2 linked regions of the Mytilus edulis genome follow. The main gene of each other region encodes a partner of the protein of the gene in region 2 in a complex. Links are inferred from orthologs where the notes say so. Each region holds a gene or a part of one and is shown on either strand. Other genes may lie near its edges.

The links.
Region 1: the proteins of protein fuzzy homolog (region 2) and ciliogenesis and planar polarity effector 2-like are in contact, whole or in part, in a cryo-EM structure (PDB 7Q3E), measured with the Mus musculus proteins. The link is inferred for Mytilus edulis from reciprocal best matches to the Homo sapiens genes FUZ and CPLANE2. Residues at the interface, in NP_081652.2 of Mus musculus: Arg26, Arg35, Ile109, Val110, Lys126, Glu127, Arg129, Ala130, Tyr132, Cys133, Asp136, Gln215, Ala216, Ala217, Arg218, Asp219, Tyr220, Pro221, Tyr223, Pro232, Leu238, Thr239, Leu240, Leu241, Arg242, Pro255, Leu256, Gly257, Gln258, Pro261; in NP_001074643.1 of Mus musculus: Glu36, Gly38, Leu39, Leu40, Glu41, Arg42, Val83, His84, His85, Glu86, Thr88, Gly89, Ile90, Gln91, Thr92, Thr93, Val94, Lys124, Phe125, Met128, Glu134.

The regions. Positions count from the first base shown.
Region 1 is NC_092356.1:43,878,155-43,885,546, reverse strand, and holds the start of ciliogenesis and planar polarity effector 2-like, read right to left. Parts: upstream 3,021-7,392; 5' UTR 2,969-3,020; intron 2,843-2,968; exon of another isoform or gene 2,743-2,842; intron 1-2,742. Other genes in the region: uncharacterized protein, read left to right, coding at 3,225-3,258, 5,439-6,916. UniProt on the Homo sapiens protein: Required for efficient primary cilia initiation, regulating a late step in cilia initiation. Plays a role in the final maturation of the mother centriole and ciliary vesicle that allows extension of the ciliary axoneme.
Region 2 is NC_092350.1:12,395,321-12,402,444, reverse strand, and holds the start of protein fuzzy homolog, read right to left. Parts: upstream 3,017-7,124; 5' UTR 2,987-3,016; coding exon 2,909-2,986; intron 1-2,908. UniProt on the Homo sapiens protein: Probable planar cell polarity effector involved in cilium biogenesis. May regulate protein and membrane transport to the cilium.

The sequences.
Region 1 (7,392 bases), on a different chromosome or scaffold from region 2:
TTTTATCATTCAAACTGATTTAATTTGAAAACGAGTGCATGGACCCCTATTTTTTAAAATGACATTTTTTTTGTTTCACTTTGCAGGGAAATTATGTATGTGGACCAAATTTTATAAAACTGTAAATAGTGCAATTTTTAAAATTTTGATAATTATACAGCAAAAAATTACATTTTTTTCTCAATTCTTGACCATTTGATAAATTATAATTATTTCTGAATAAAAAATGCATAAATTTTCATGATATTTATAAAATGCAGAAATTACAAACTATTTAACAAACAACAAATTGTGTTTATCTTTTAAAACAAAAAAGTTATGTCTTTAAGGAAAAATACGGCCACAAATCTGAGTTTTGAGCAAATATATAAAATTTCAACATCATTTAACTCAAAAAGTAGCACATGAAGGTATATTTTTTATTACATATTTGATTCAATCAGGCAAAAAATAGCCTATATGGAAATTTTCATCAAACTTTAAATATGGGATCAAAACTGTATCGTATGCCCTTAACTAATAATCTTCTAGCTTAAAGCATCAATTTTACAGAGTACATCCTTAAGGAGGCTCGAGGATACAAAAATCTCAGCAAAATTTTAAACATTTTTTTTTTCCATACAAATTTTATTTATTACTTTATTTGTTTTTACTTTATCATATGGTTCAAACATCAACCATAAAAATCAATTCGTTTTGGCCCCAGATGACTTTTAAAATGCATATATCATTGAAAAAGCTCCAAATTATCTTCCTTTGGTGCAAAAATGCCATCTTTTAGTATTAAAATTGAAATATCTTTTTTAACTCATCTGTGACCTATATTTTTTTGATTAATTTCTTGGATTAGGCTGTACTTAAACGAAACTATTGTAACATTTCAGTGATTTCTGTAATTTAGTTCTTTTTTTATTCAGATATATTTCTCTTATTAGTTCAACAGAAAAAAAAGTACCTTTACGAAAATGTATGCAGATTGTGAGCTTAAATGAACGGTGCCCCCAATTTTTTATTTTATTTTTCTATTAAGTATACTATAAAGTTTATTTATATAGAAAAATGTTTCAACCAGTTGAGCATTCTGCATGATTGTTGGTTTAATGCTGCTAAAACTTATCTGCAAAACGACCTTAGAATTGCGTATAATTTTTCGATAATTAGTGATACTAATGAAAAGGACTCAAAGTTTTCCCTCTTACTGCTTCTAACTTTCTCATGATTAAACAACATCTTGCGTAATGTCTTCATTGTTTTTTATTTAGTTTTTCAGTGAAGAAAAAACACATCTATAACTACTTGTATCCCCGAGGAACCAGTAATGACGCACCTAACGTTGTGTTTGTCTCTGCATTTAATCTACCATTTAAAAGAAAAAGAAACACGGAATAGAATGAAAGATTGATCACTTGTTAATGTATTTCAATCATTAAACAGTTGATTTTTGAAACAGTAAAAGCAATAAAAATCATGTTTGCTAACATTACAAACGGACTGTCAACTTATGATGGGTACCAGTAATGACGCACTATAAACAAACCAGTAAAAACCACTTGCAGTGTACCTGATGTTCGAAAAATTGCTTCAATCCGGATAATTTAAAGTTAACACTATTCAACAAATTTAATTTTAATAACAAATTTTGACATTTACAGTCACTTTTATGATCATGTTGATAGCAACACAATTTTTTTCATTAATTTAATTGTAACCTATATTTTATTTCAAATTTTATATAAAATTGTTCAAAATTTATCAAAGTGACATATATATTCCATATACTTGAAAATAAGAAGTAATTGCATTCATAAAACAACATTGACATTAAAACATTTATCAATGTATACTTCGTACAATGAATGAAAAAAATCGATAAACAATAGAAAATTATATAAGCGACGATCATTTGTTCTACAGTGATTCCCGCTTAAATGTAAAACCATGTCACATGACAGTCATATGATTTGAAAAACACAAACTGGGGCAGCATGTGCATACATACTTTTGCCGGCCAAAGTGGATTTAGGACTGATAATCATTCTGGGAAGGGTAGACTGTTTTTGACCTTAATAAAATGGCAGAAATTGCATTATCTTTACTAATTCAAGCAATAATAACATTTCTGGACAGAGTTTGAGGCATCTATGTTGTAGTCATATGACCTTCACCATCATGTTATGAATAGTAATTATCGATGACGTCACATCTTTTGTTTAGAAATATAAAACCCAAAACTAAATTGGTGCGTCATTTCTGGTCCGCGTCAAAACAGGTACCAAGACGATATATCAGAGATACAGCTCCATCTTTTAATAATGCTAGCAAGAAATTGGTTTGGTTGACTTTTTAATCAACAAAGATTTGTATAGGTACTAGTGACTTCTTAAAATTAACCAATCGAAAAGAAAACTAATCAAAACAACAGTCTAAGTCATAGAATGTTGAGAAAACCCTAAAAATAATTAGAAATAGAAAGATCATTTATACATTTTTTGAATAGTTTTAATATATTCATATCAAATATAATTGGATGCCGAATTGACTTTAAATAGGTGCCGATTTGAATAGATGCCGATTTAACCAGGTGCTGATTCTTTTTCTGTGGGTCCCGAATAATTTTGATCGGGTGCCGATTTGACTTGTACCCGTAATGCCTGCCTCATATTACCTGCCTCAAATTATTTAAAAATATACTGAAAAATAAACTGGTTTGATCTTTGGAAATTTATGCTAACTACAGCTTACTTGGGTATACGATTAAATTGCATTATTTTGTTTCAATTATCTAAATTGTTTTAAAACTTTCCTGAAACCATGGACGCTGACATTTTGAAAATGCTAAAACCCAGAGTGCATAAATTTTTTCTTGACTCTCTAATTAACGCAATTATATTTTATATTCATGTTTTATAAGAAGGAAAAATCAAACCAGAAAAATATGGAAACATTAACATGTTTTAAATAAACGTACAAAAATTACGTTTTCTAGAATGTGTAATTGGAAAATGTTCCTGTTATTGATTAGTTCTCATTGACCCCAAGGGTGAAGGTTAACCGGTCTATTATGTAAACAGTAAATGTTGCATAATTAAAATAACGTTTATTACACGATTAAACGTTCATTGACACCTAAATGTTGGCATGAGGCCTTATTTGTAGAAGGAAAAATAAAAAGTTTAAACATTTAACAAATGTCAAAAGAGAGGTAAGGAACGAATCATAGTAAAATGTCAGTTGACTGTGTAAAAGTTGATATGGAAGGTAGGCATACTTCATTACTGAATTTGTTTTACAGCACCAGTTAATATAAAAAAAATGGTAGGATAGTCCAAATAATTTTGACTCTGGCAAGGCTTTTTTTTTCTGGGACGCCTTCCGATGACGTCATAACGCTAAACCATTTTTATACGACCACAAAAATTTTAATTTTTCGTCGTATATTGCTATCACGTTGGCGTCATCGTCTTTGTCGTCGTCGTCCGAATACTTTTAGTTTTCGCACTCTAACTTTAGTAAAAGTCTTATAAAGCTGCGCCCTGCGGAGCATCTGGTTTACCTCTGGACTTAGAGAGCAAATTTGGGGGAACTTTGCCACAGGTGCTTGAGGACAGGATCCTGTATGAGCCCGATATAGTCCCTCCCCCTTATTATCATAAATCTCAGATTTTTCGATATATATCACTTATTTGTACCATATATATATACTAATATACCATATTTATACTTTAAATATATATATGTATGTTTACTATCAACGTGAATCTCGACTATCGCTCTATAGTCGAGATTCACGTTGATAGTAAACATGCATCATACGCTTTCGGGACGATCTCATAATTATTTGGACTAGGGGTAGGAATGCCCTTTACACAAGGTTGGCAAAAAAGCGGTCAATACTAGTATTGACCATGCCAGTGGTAAATACCGGTATTTACCGGGAAATACTGGCAAATACTGGGAAATACCGGCAAATACTGGTCGATTGAAATTTTGAGTGGACATTACTATAAAAACCACTATCTACTTGGTCAATTATAATTACAATTAATAATTAATTTATATAGAAAGTGTTCAAACCATTTTTAATGCTTTCATTTCTAATTCTATTGTTAATTCAAACAGGTATCTACATTGATTAATGTGTACATAATATTATAGTAAAAGATAAAAACTTTTTGTTCATGCTTCAAATTTTCATTTCCAGCATGAAGAAGGTTTTTTTTTTTTATCTCACAGTTAGATAGCTATAAACAGGAAATAATTTATTGTTTAAGGGAGTCTTCATATATCAATTTTATTACTTTCAACCCATGTACTGTCAACTTTTATTGGAGGCTGTTGTTTTAGTAATTAAATTTTCACACCTAGCAATGCCAGGTGATAGCTATAGGTAAAAAGACCCATGTAACTTCATTTACCTGTAGTTTTATTTACCTTTAATTTTAATTACCTGTAAAATCATACATTTTGAATAAAAATATATTGATTTAAACATGTTGAAATAAAATATAAATTTGTATATATATATATCTTAATTATATAAGTATGCAATATCATAATTCTTAAAAACTTAATTTTAAATCAGTAGTAAGAATAAGTGTTATAAATGAATAAAACATATCAAATTCATTACCTTTATAAGCTGACACATTATATTTGACTTTTTATCAAGATTTTACTTCATTTAATAGTAGAAACAACCATGAAAATTTCAATTGACCAGTATTTGCCAGTATTGACCACTTGGGGAGTATTGTCCAGGGCGGTAAATACCGGTAAATACCACTGGTAAATACCGGGGGTGGTATTTACCGCCCAACAAAGGCTTTACTGTCAGGCATTGACTTCAAGGGCATCGAACGATCATTTTTTCGGCTACCGCTAGCATCAAATTGATTAATATTGGATTTGTCAGAGGTCTCAAACATGTCAAATAATTATCGTTACTGCTATTTGTGGGGAAAAAATAACACGATTCTACAAAATCAGTCAATTTTTTCTTGTCTAAAAGAAAGTGTACATTTTATTATCATCTACCAAAAATTAACGTTAACTTCATTTGGCAAGATATTTTACTGTTATTTGTCATGAAGAAATACAAATGCCTGTGAAATGCCATGTCTGGAAAAAAATTACTGTGAAATAAACAGTTACACACATACTTTATAGATCAAATGAAAGGACTTAAATTGTTGGCACTGTCTGGATACATGCATGAAGTCATATATATTATGTATTTTTGAGATTATTTACAATGACCATGACAACACATCATATGAACAAATTAAACATGCTAATTGATAATAAATTGTCAAAATTAGGTCATGTACTGACACTTAGCCTTGACTTTTATATTGATATCCACATTTTAGTATATTGGGCATTTGTCATAGACTCATGCTTGTTTTGCAAGTCTTTATAAACTATCTTTTATGTTGTAGGTGCTGAAAAGATGACGAGTAAAAAGAGGGTTCTTATTGTTGGAGCTGGGGCTGCGGGAACTGCAGCTGCTTACAGTTTATCAAAACATCCAGAGAAATTCCAAGTAGAAGTCTGGGAAAAACTATCAGTACCTGGAGGCGTTGCCTGTTCTAGCGATATTAAAGGAGATGCCTTTGTTAATTATGGGGTTCAAGGAGGTACACCATCATACAGAAATACTTTGATAATGATGAAGGAGTTTGGATTTAAGACATCACCAGTACATATGATGATATCTTTTGGTAAAGGGAAGACTCATTGGACAAACTATGCAAAGTCACCCCTGACGGAAAAGCTGAAAAATGAAATCAAACGTTTCGAAGATGTCTTGAAGAAGATCAACAGATTTGAATTCTTTTATATTTTTGTTCCAATGTACAAAGTATTAAAATGGAATGGATTTTCTGAAGATTTCGCAAATGAAATGGTATTTCCACTCACTGCTCTTTTCTTTGGAACAGGAAATCGTACTCCATATGTGTCGGCGGCAATCATGGCTAGAGTATTTTTAGATGAAGACCTACGATTATTTGATTATGACTCAGAACTTCTGTTAAGTCAATCCCCAGAAATGTTTGCCTTTCCAAAGCTAGAACAAATGTATGAAACCATCTTAAGAAAAAGTGGTGTGAAAATCTGTTTGAATCGACCAATAACTTCTGTTAAGAGATATGGGACCCATGTCACTGTGATTGACCAAGATGGGAAAACTGCTACATTCGATGAAATCCTGTTTGCATGTGATGCAGAAACAGTTCTCAAATTGTTGGAAAACCCAACCTTCTTTGAAAGAAAAGCGCTTGGCAATGTGAAATATTATAATGATTTAATTCTAACGCATGAAGATGATAATTACATGAACAAACATTATGAGGTAAACAAAAACAAAGATCAATACTTTGTCAGAACTGATCCGACAGACCCAGCCAAAATAGAAATGTCTTTCAATCTATCCAACTACCAACCACAGCTGAAAAATTCCAACAGAAATATATACCAGACAATATACTTAGACGATAATTTGAGAGAGAAATACTGGACTGTAGATGAAGTGAAGAAGGATAAAGTCTTACTTGAGACGTGGTGGAGACAGTTCTCTCATTCCTGGACTCATTTTGCATTCACTGTCCCCTTGATGAGATATCTCCAAGGGAAGAAACATACATGGTTTTGTGGTGCTTACACGCTGATTAATACTCACGAGATTGCAATGATCTCTGGTCTTGCTGCTGCTCATCGTTTAGGAGCACCATATCCATTTCATCATGATCCATTAGCTGCCAAACAGTTTGATCAGTATCTATTAACCATACACGGCAAACCAAGGAACTTTGGGTGTAACAAAATGACACTATTGAGTTGTATCCTAGCTCCATTGATGGCCCTTTTTGCACTTTTTTCCCTCTTATTGAGGTTTTGTTTCATTAGAAAGTCATAGCTTCTTAATGAGAAGATATTGTAATAGTCTATATTATAGTTTAAAATGTATAGTACAGACAGTTGTATGAACATTTACACAAGTGTGCTATACATGTATACAAAAATTAGCATATATTTATACATGTCATCTAGTACTAGTTGTACTACACAAGTGAAGCTGAACATGTACAAATGTATGTTTGTGTTGTGTAAATACACTTCCTATAATAATATATTGCATTGCCTTCTTCAATCAAAACCTAATAAATAATTGGTACTCAAATTGGTTACAGCAACAATAATTAATAAGTTTTTTTCTGTATTTCAATATTTTTTAAAATTCTTAAAGTTTTTGTTTTTTTTGTAAATGTTTATTAATAAATTAATACAATAATCATTTGACATTTCTGTATCATAGTGTATGATAGTTTCAAGGTGTATGGATTCTGTTTAAAGAAATTGTTCTAAGTTAAACTTTAAAAGATTTTTCTGTAC
Region 2 (7,124 bases):
TATTCGTCAACAACAATGCAAGAATTAAAAAATATGACTATTTAGTGCAAACTATACATCTTTTTTTTATCCAAAAAATGTTACCATACATTGGCACTTTAAATTACCCGCCCTTTACCATTCACTCAATATTTACAAAAACAATACAAGACAAATTGGGAGCAAATAGAAAAAGATCTCACTGAAACATACAAAGAACTTAAACAAGATCAAGATAAATTAAATCTTGATGAACTTTGGAACACGTTCAAAACCAACATCCAAAAGTCTATTACCAAGAATATTCCAACAAAAAGCATTGGTAACAAATCGAAACTACCTTGGGTAAATTACCAACTTAAAAAGCTCATCAACAAGAAAAACAAATTATACAAAAAGAAAAAGAAAAATCCTAAGTATAAAAAACAATACCAAGAGATAAAAACCAAGCTCCAGAAAGAAATGAGAAACTCGTACTGGCAATACATAGAAAACATGATTTTCGATATTGAAATAAAGGAGCCAGATCAAACATGCTTCAATAATACGCCTAAAAAACTGTACACCTACATTAAAAGCCAGAAAAACGAAAACACTGGCATAGCTCCTCTACGAAGTGAAGGTACACTGCACTCAAGTCCATCTGAGAAAGCAAATATACTTAACAAACAATTTCAGTCTGCTTTTACATCTGAGGCAAACACTAACATTCCAGACAAAGGTCCTAGTAAACACCCTATAATGGAACCCATTAGAATATCTAGGGATGGTGTTTACAAACTAATCAAAAACATAAACCCGAATAAAGCAACTGGTCCTGACACCATCGCAGGCAAAGTACTAAAACAAAACATCGAAATATGTACAGATATCCTCACTTTAATATTTACAAGATCACTACAAACAGGCAAAGTACCATCTGACTGGAACCACGCAAATGTCACACCTGTATTCAAAAAAGGGGATAAACACAACACAGGCAACTATAGGCCTATATCCTTAACATGCATAGCTTGTAAACTACTCGAACATATCTTTGCAAGCAGCATGATGAACCACTTAGAAACAAACAACACTCTATATGAATTACAACATGGATTTAGGGCAAAACGATCATGTGAATCACAAATCATCTCACTGATACATGAATTATTCCAAAACAACGACAAGAACATACAAACAGATCTTATTATCATGGATTTTGCTAAAGCTTTCGACAAGGTACCACACAAAAGATTACTATACAAAATGAAATACTTTGGCATATCAGATCAAATCATTAACTGGGTAGACTCCTTTCTTTCAAACAGAACACAAACAGTACTTTTAGAAAACATGTCATCTTCAAAAATACCAGTCTCATCAGGAGTCCCACAGGGTACAGTGCTAGGACCGATACTATTCTTAATTTACATAAATGACCTCCCAGATTACATCCAACATAGCAAAATCAGACTCTTTGCAGATGACAGTATAATCTACCGACAAATTAAAACTCAAAACGACTGCCTCAAGCTTCAAGAAGACCTACATGTAGAAGCTGCCATACAATGGGAAAAAGATTGGCTTATGTCTTTCCATCCAGACAAGTGTAACATCATGAATATAACAACAAAAAGAAATCCCATCCACTTTTATTATAACATGTATGGACACATCTTAGAACCTGTAAAACATGCAAAATACTTAGGCATCACCATCTCAGCAGACCTAAAATGGAACACCCACATCCAACAAACTGCTGCAAAAGCAAATAAATCCTTAGGTTTCATCAGAAGAAACCTTAAAGTCCAATCGCAAACAATTAAAGAAAGAGCATACCAAACACTCATAAGACCAAAGTTGGAATACTGTTGTACTGTATGGGACCCATTTACAAACGAAAATATAAAATCACTGGAAAAAGTACAAAGACGGGCAGCAAGGTATGTGTGCAATAGACATCACAACACCAGCAGTGTGTCTGAGATGCTAGATACCATGAAATGGCAAACATTACAAGAACGCCGACTACGAACAAGGCTTATAATGTTCCACAAAATTGTAAATGAAAAGATAGCCATTCCATCGCAAAATGTATTACAACAGAGTCAGTCTACTACAAGATCCACCAATAAAGAATCCTACAGACAAATTCATTGCAATAAAGACAGCTATAAATTTTCTTTCTTCTGTCAAACCATCAAAGACTGGAACAAACTAACACCTGAAATTACCAAAAACAGTACTACAGAAAACTTCAAGGATGCACTCACACACGACGTGCTCCTTGATACTTACCCTCATCTGAAATAAACAGATACTCTTGTTTTTATCTTATACCAAAAAACTAAAAATAAAAAATGTAATATTTAAAAACTAAATAAAAAAATTGTATAAATTAAAAACAAAGAAAAATTGTAAAAATTGAAAATACGAAAATATATGACCAAAAACAACTTTGAATAAGAAATATTTTGTTAATTTATATTTTGAGAAAAATTATCAACATAAATTTATTAAAAAACATTTACCAGGCATGCGCCGGAAAGTAAACATCAGTACGTTGATGGTTTTCTGTAACAAAAGAAGAAAGAAGAGTAAGCTCCCTTTCACCACATGTGAGCACATTTTCATATTTTTTTTTCAGTGGGAACTTCAAATATAAATCACAACTTTTTGTCAAAAAATCAATTCGTGTTCGGTTTTCATCAAAAATAAATATTAAGAAGATGGTTGAATGTTCCGAGACGTTGTTTCTACAAACTGTGTTTTATATAAACTGATTTTAGTCGAAACCACCGAAATCAAACGCAAAGGCCCAACCTCGTCGGCCTCGTGTCTATGCTGGACACAAGCCCGGCAAAAACACTCAAACACTAACGCTACAGTTTATATTGACTGAATGCATAGTCAATAATTCAAAATTATATGTATTTTTATAACCTACAGGCTTTAAACTGGCTGACATTCGGGTAAATAGAGGAACTCCTCCTCCTGTTGTCAAACATAAAATGTAGGTCGCCATTTCGATGTAAGTTTAACATACGCATGCGCTTACTTACCACAACTTTAGAATGATGGGTAAATAGCATGGCGATGAAGAAGCTGTAAACAGCATCTGTCAAATTTTCGGTTCAGTATATGGTAAGTTTTACTTGATGACAACAGGCACACTTAATGACAGGTAAGTCATGTTTCATGTTAGGTTCGTCCCTGGTAATGTAAAGGAATTTTATCGATCAGGATCTTCATTATTGCTTGTTTATTGGAGCACGTGCCCGCAACGCCAATCTGCCGTTACTCATTGTTTTCACTGTATTGGCCACACGACTTGTAATCTTTTGACCCAAGCTGTTACAAATGTTTTCACACATTATGTAATTTGTTTATACAGCAATTACAGTAGTTTTTATTAATGACAGTTTGTGTTGATAAACAATATTATACTTTTATTGAGAGACAAAGAAATTACGCGCCGTTTATTATTAGTCATCAGTGTGTATACTATATTTACTCAGTTCAATAACAAAGAAATTTAAGCCGAAGTATCGATCGATTTTCTCTCAATTAATAGGTCCTTCACAAAAGCAGTGCCAACAAAATTTAATTTAACAACTTCATCTTACTTTGGTTCAAAGTATTTTCAAAGTCAATTGAATTTTCACGAAGATAACCATTTATTGACAAAAGTAATTAGACATTCAGAAAGTTATTTGTGTATTGCTTAGCTATGATATTGGTTCAGAATGACAAAGATGTGACTTAATGTTTCTTTGTGTTTCTTCATTAGTCATTCTCCTTAATTTATTCATGGAAAACTTCCAAATGGACCAATTCTTAACCATAAAATGTATTACATCCGTTTAAAAACACATTGGTTATTCTCATGATTGATTTAATTTTGATACAGAATTCTAATAAAAGATTGAAAAGAAATATTCAGTTGACAATTTCTAATGTCACATCAAGGCACTCAATGTCAAACTTATATGACTTTTAGATTGAATGATTTATTTAGCTTTAAAAGATTAAAAGAAAAGTGATATAACAATTTTTGTTTAGATTATTAACAAGTTGGGATCCCTGACACAAGTTTTATATTATTGTTTATAAACATGAACTATTTGAAATACTTTTAAACAACTGAAGTCCTTGTTAAACACCGTTTAGAACCTATATCTTCTCTGTTCTACTGGAGGCTGTAAAATATCCAAAATACAGCAATTTTAAGAAACTAATTTTATAGATCTTATAGCTTTATTATATTATTGTAAATAAAATGTATGAAAATCATTATTAGCATGATTAGGAAATATGTCATTTAATTTTAAAGCTACAAAACATAATTTTTTTTCAAACAAAAAAAATGAAAATTCAATTCAATTTAAATTTGGTTCAAATGATATGATTGTTAAATTAATTCCTCTGTCTATTTCATTAGGTTATAAGAAGAGTAACTGAAGTCAATAGTAAAGAACATCAAGTGAAACAGCTCGCATCAAAAAGGCAGCATCAAAGTTTTTGTACTTCTAAAGGTAAGTGAAAAAGTGAAAAAGATAATATATTTAACTTTGAAACTTCTTTTTTTTTCACAACTATTTTAAAAATTTGGAAACCATGCTGATCACATTGATTAAATTTGTTAGATTAGTGTCAACATGATTATAGTTCTTTTGAAATATACAATTATACCATTGTAAAGTATGCATAAACTGTGTCTTTGAAATGAGACAATATATTTTGTTGTACATGTATATATAATAAAGATGTGGGCAAGACATAAAATATTGTTAAGTATAAGTTTTTAGACAACAATAATTGAAAATCAAATAAAACAATACAAGGATCATTGATCAGATGGAGTGATATTGAACCAGCTTTTCCTTCTTATAAAGGAAAGCTAACTGTCATGAGTTTTTTAATAGATCATTTTTTAGATTCCTTTGAATTATTGGAATAAGAGGACTTTCCAGTCCAAGAGTATGACTTATCAAGATGATGTTGACAGGAGTTTGTATTGTTTAAAAATTTGTGTGATGCATGCATACATGTAGCTACTGTTTATTTTAACTTGCAGTTGATGAGTGGTCATTTGGTAATACTTGTGTATTCACATATTTGGAATACACTAGATAACAATTTTAAATACATACTACATATAACAAACATGTAAGTTATGTCAGAGTTAAAGTAGCTAAATATGAGAAGATCTGGTATGAGTGCCAATGAGACAACTCTCCATCCAAGTTAACATGTGTTCCTGCAAGTTATCTCAGATCCCAGTTACTTTTAACATGTGTTCCAGTAAGTTAAATGTCAGATCCCAGTTACTTTTAACATGTTTTCCAGTAAGTTAAAGGTCAGATCCCAATAACTGTTAACATGTGTTCCAGCAAGTTTAATGTCAGATCCCAGTAACTTTTAGCATGTGTTCCAGCAAGTTAAATGTCAGATCCCAGTTACTTTTAACATGTGTTCCTGTAAGTTATGTCAGATCCCAGTAACTTTTAACATGTGTTCCAGCAAGTTAAATGTCAGATCCCAGTAACTTAACATGTGTTACTGCAAGTTATGTCAGACCCCAGTTACTGTTAACGTGTGATCCTGCAAGTTAAATATCAGATCCCAGTAACCAAATATGTGTTCCTGCAAGATCTCATGTCAGAAGATAGTAACTGTTAACATATGTTTCTTCAAGATCTCATGTCAAATCCTAGTATCTGCTAACATGTCTTCCTGGAAGATTTGGAAAATTAAAATGGATAAGGCCCAGATGTCTGCAAAAATAATGCATTACACATCACTACATGTCTAAGGAACATCACTTGTATTACAAGTAATTAAGGAACTGATACCTTATGTAAGATCATCATAAACATTTGTTTTAGAGACCCTGACAATAAAATTCAGGCTTATATATAGCATTGCAAAAAATAGAACAGCATATATATAATCTCTGTCATTGTTAGGAACTTTGACTACATATATGATACAAATTATGGAAGATTTTTGTTTTCATTTTTAAGTACTTAAATAATTTAAATTCTAGATTCAAATGAATTTGTCAAAATATTAATTTATTTTGTAAAATAAATAAATTTTATTTTATTTTATGACAAATATACATAAATTTATAAAATATGCATGAAGTTCAAATAATGGTCATATAAATGATTCACAAAAATATCATGAATCATTTATTTCATTGATAGTGAATTTTTCCATTATTTTATAAGAAATAAAATATTATAGCTATAATTGAGAAACTAGAACAGATGGGAGCTGCAACTGTGGTCTTTTTTATTGATATACCCCAAAAAGTAATTAGAATTTTACACTCAAGTATAATATCCACTAGCTTTTGTTATGGTGTATAAAATATGTCATATATTATTGTTCAAAATGAAATGTTCTGAATTAATAAAACATAAATTAGAATTTTTCAATAGTGTTTATGTGTGTATAGATGATGAGATGTTTGCTTTACTAAATGTTGACCTGCAGTGGTCAGTGTTTAAGGGTAGGACACCCCGGTCAGAGGGTCAGTCTTTATAGTTGTTACAGTGGCAGGTGCCCCATCCTATCCAATCAATAAAAGGAAACTGTATTTAATTGTAATAAAATGGGTGTATGTCTATATCTCAAAGCCATGTTATTTCAAAACTTGATTTATTCTGATTCCTTTGTGTCAAGTCTTTCAGCCACATAATTAGTCTTGCATAAATCGTTGGAGCGTAAATGTTTGATTACAAGCCTTATGTATAATCAGATGAGAAATAATATAGAAACCCTGACAGATTTGTGATAAGTTTTTGATGTCTTTGTTTAATTACATTTATCCAGAGTACAGCATTTAGAAATAGGTGTCCAGATGGCCTGGTACGTGACAATGTATCTCTGTCCTCCTGAAGTTTCCATGGAGTTTCCAGCATGGAAAGTCTATATTTGTAATGATGATGCTGTATTATAAAGTGGCAGATTCTATTCACAGACTTTTATCATAATTGATAAATATGGATGTGGAAATTTGAAAAGGCTACAGGCATGTTAAAATACAACATGCTTGCTATAGTAATTATTACTTCAAAATATCCAACCTCATTAATTTTTTTCTGTTTATCTTAAAATGAAAAAAATGAGAGGGAAATTCCTATTTATATTTG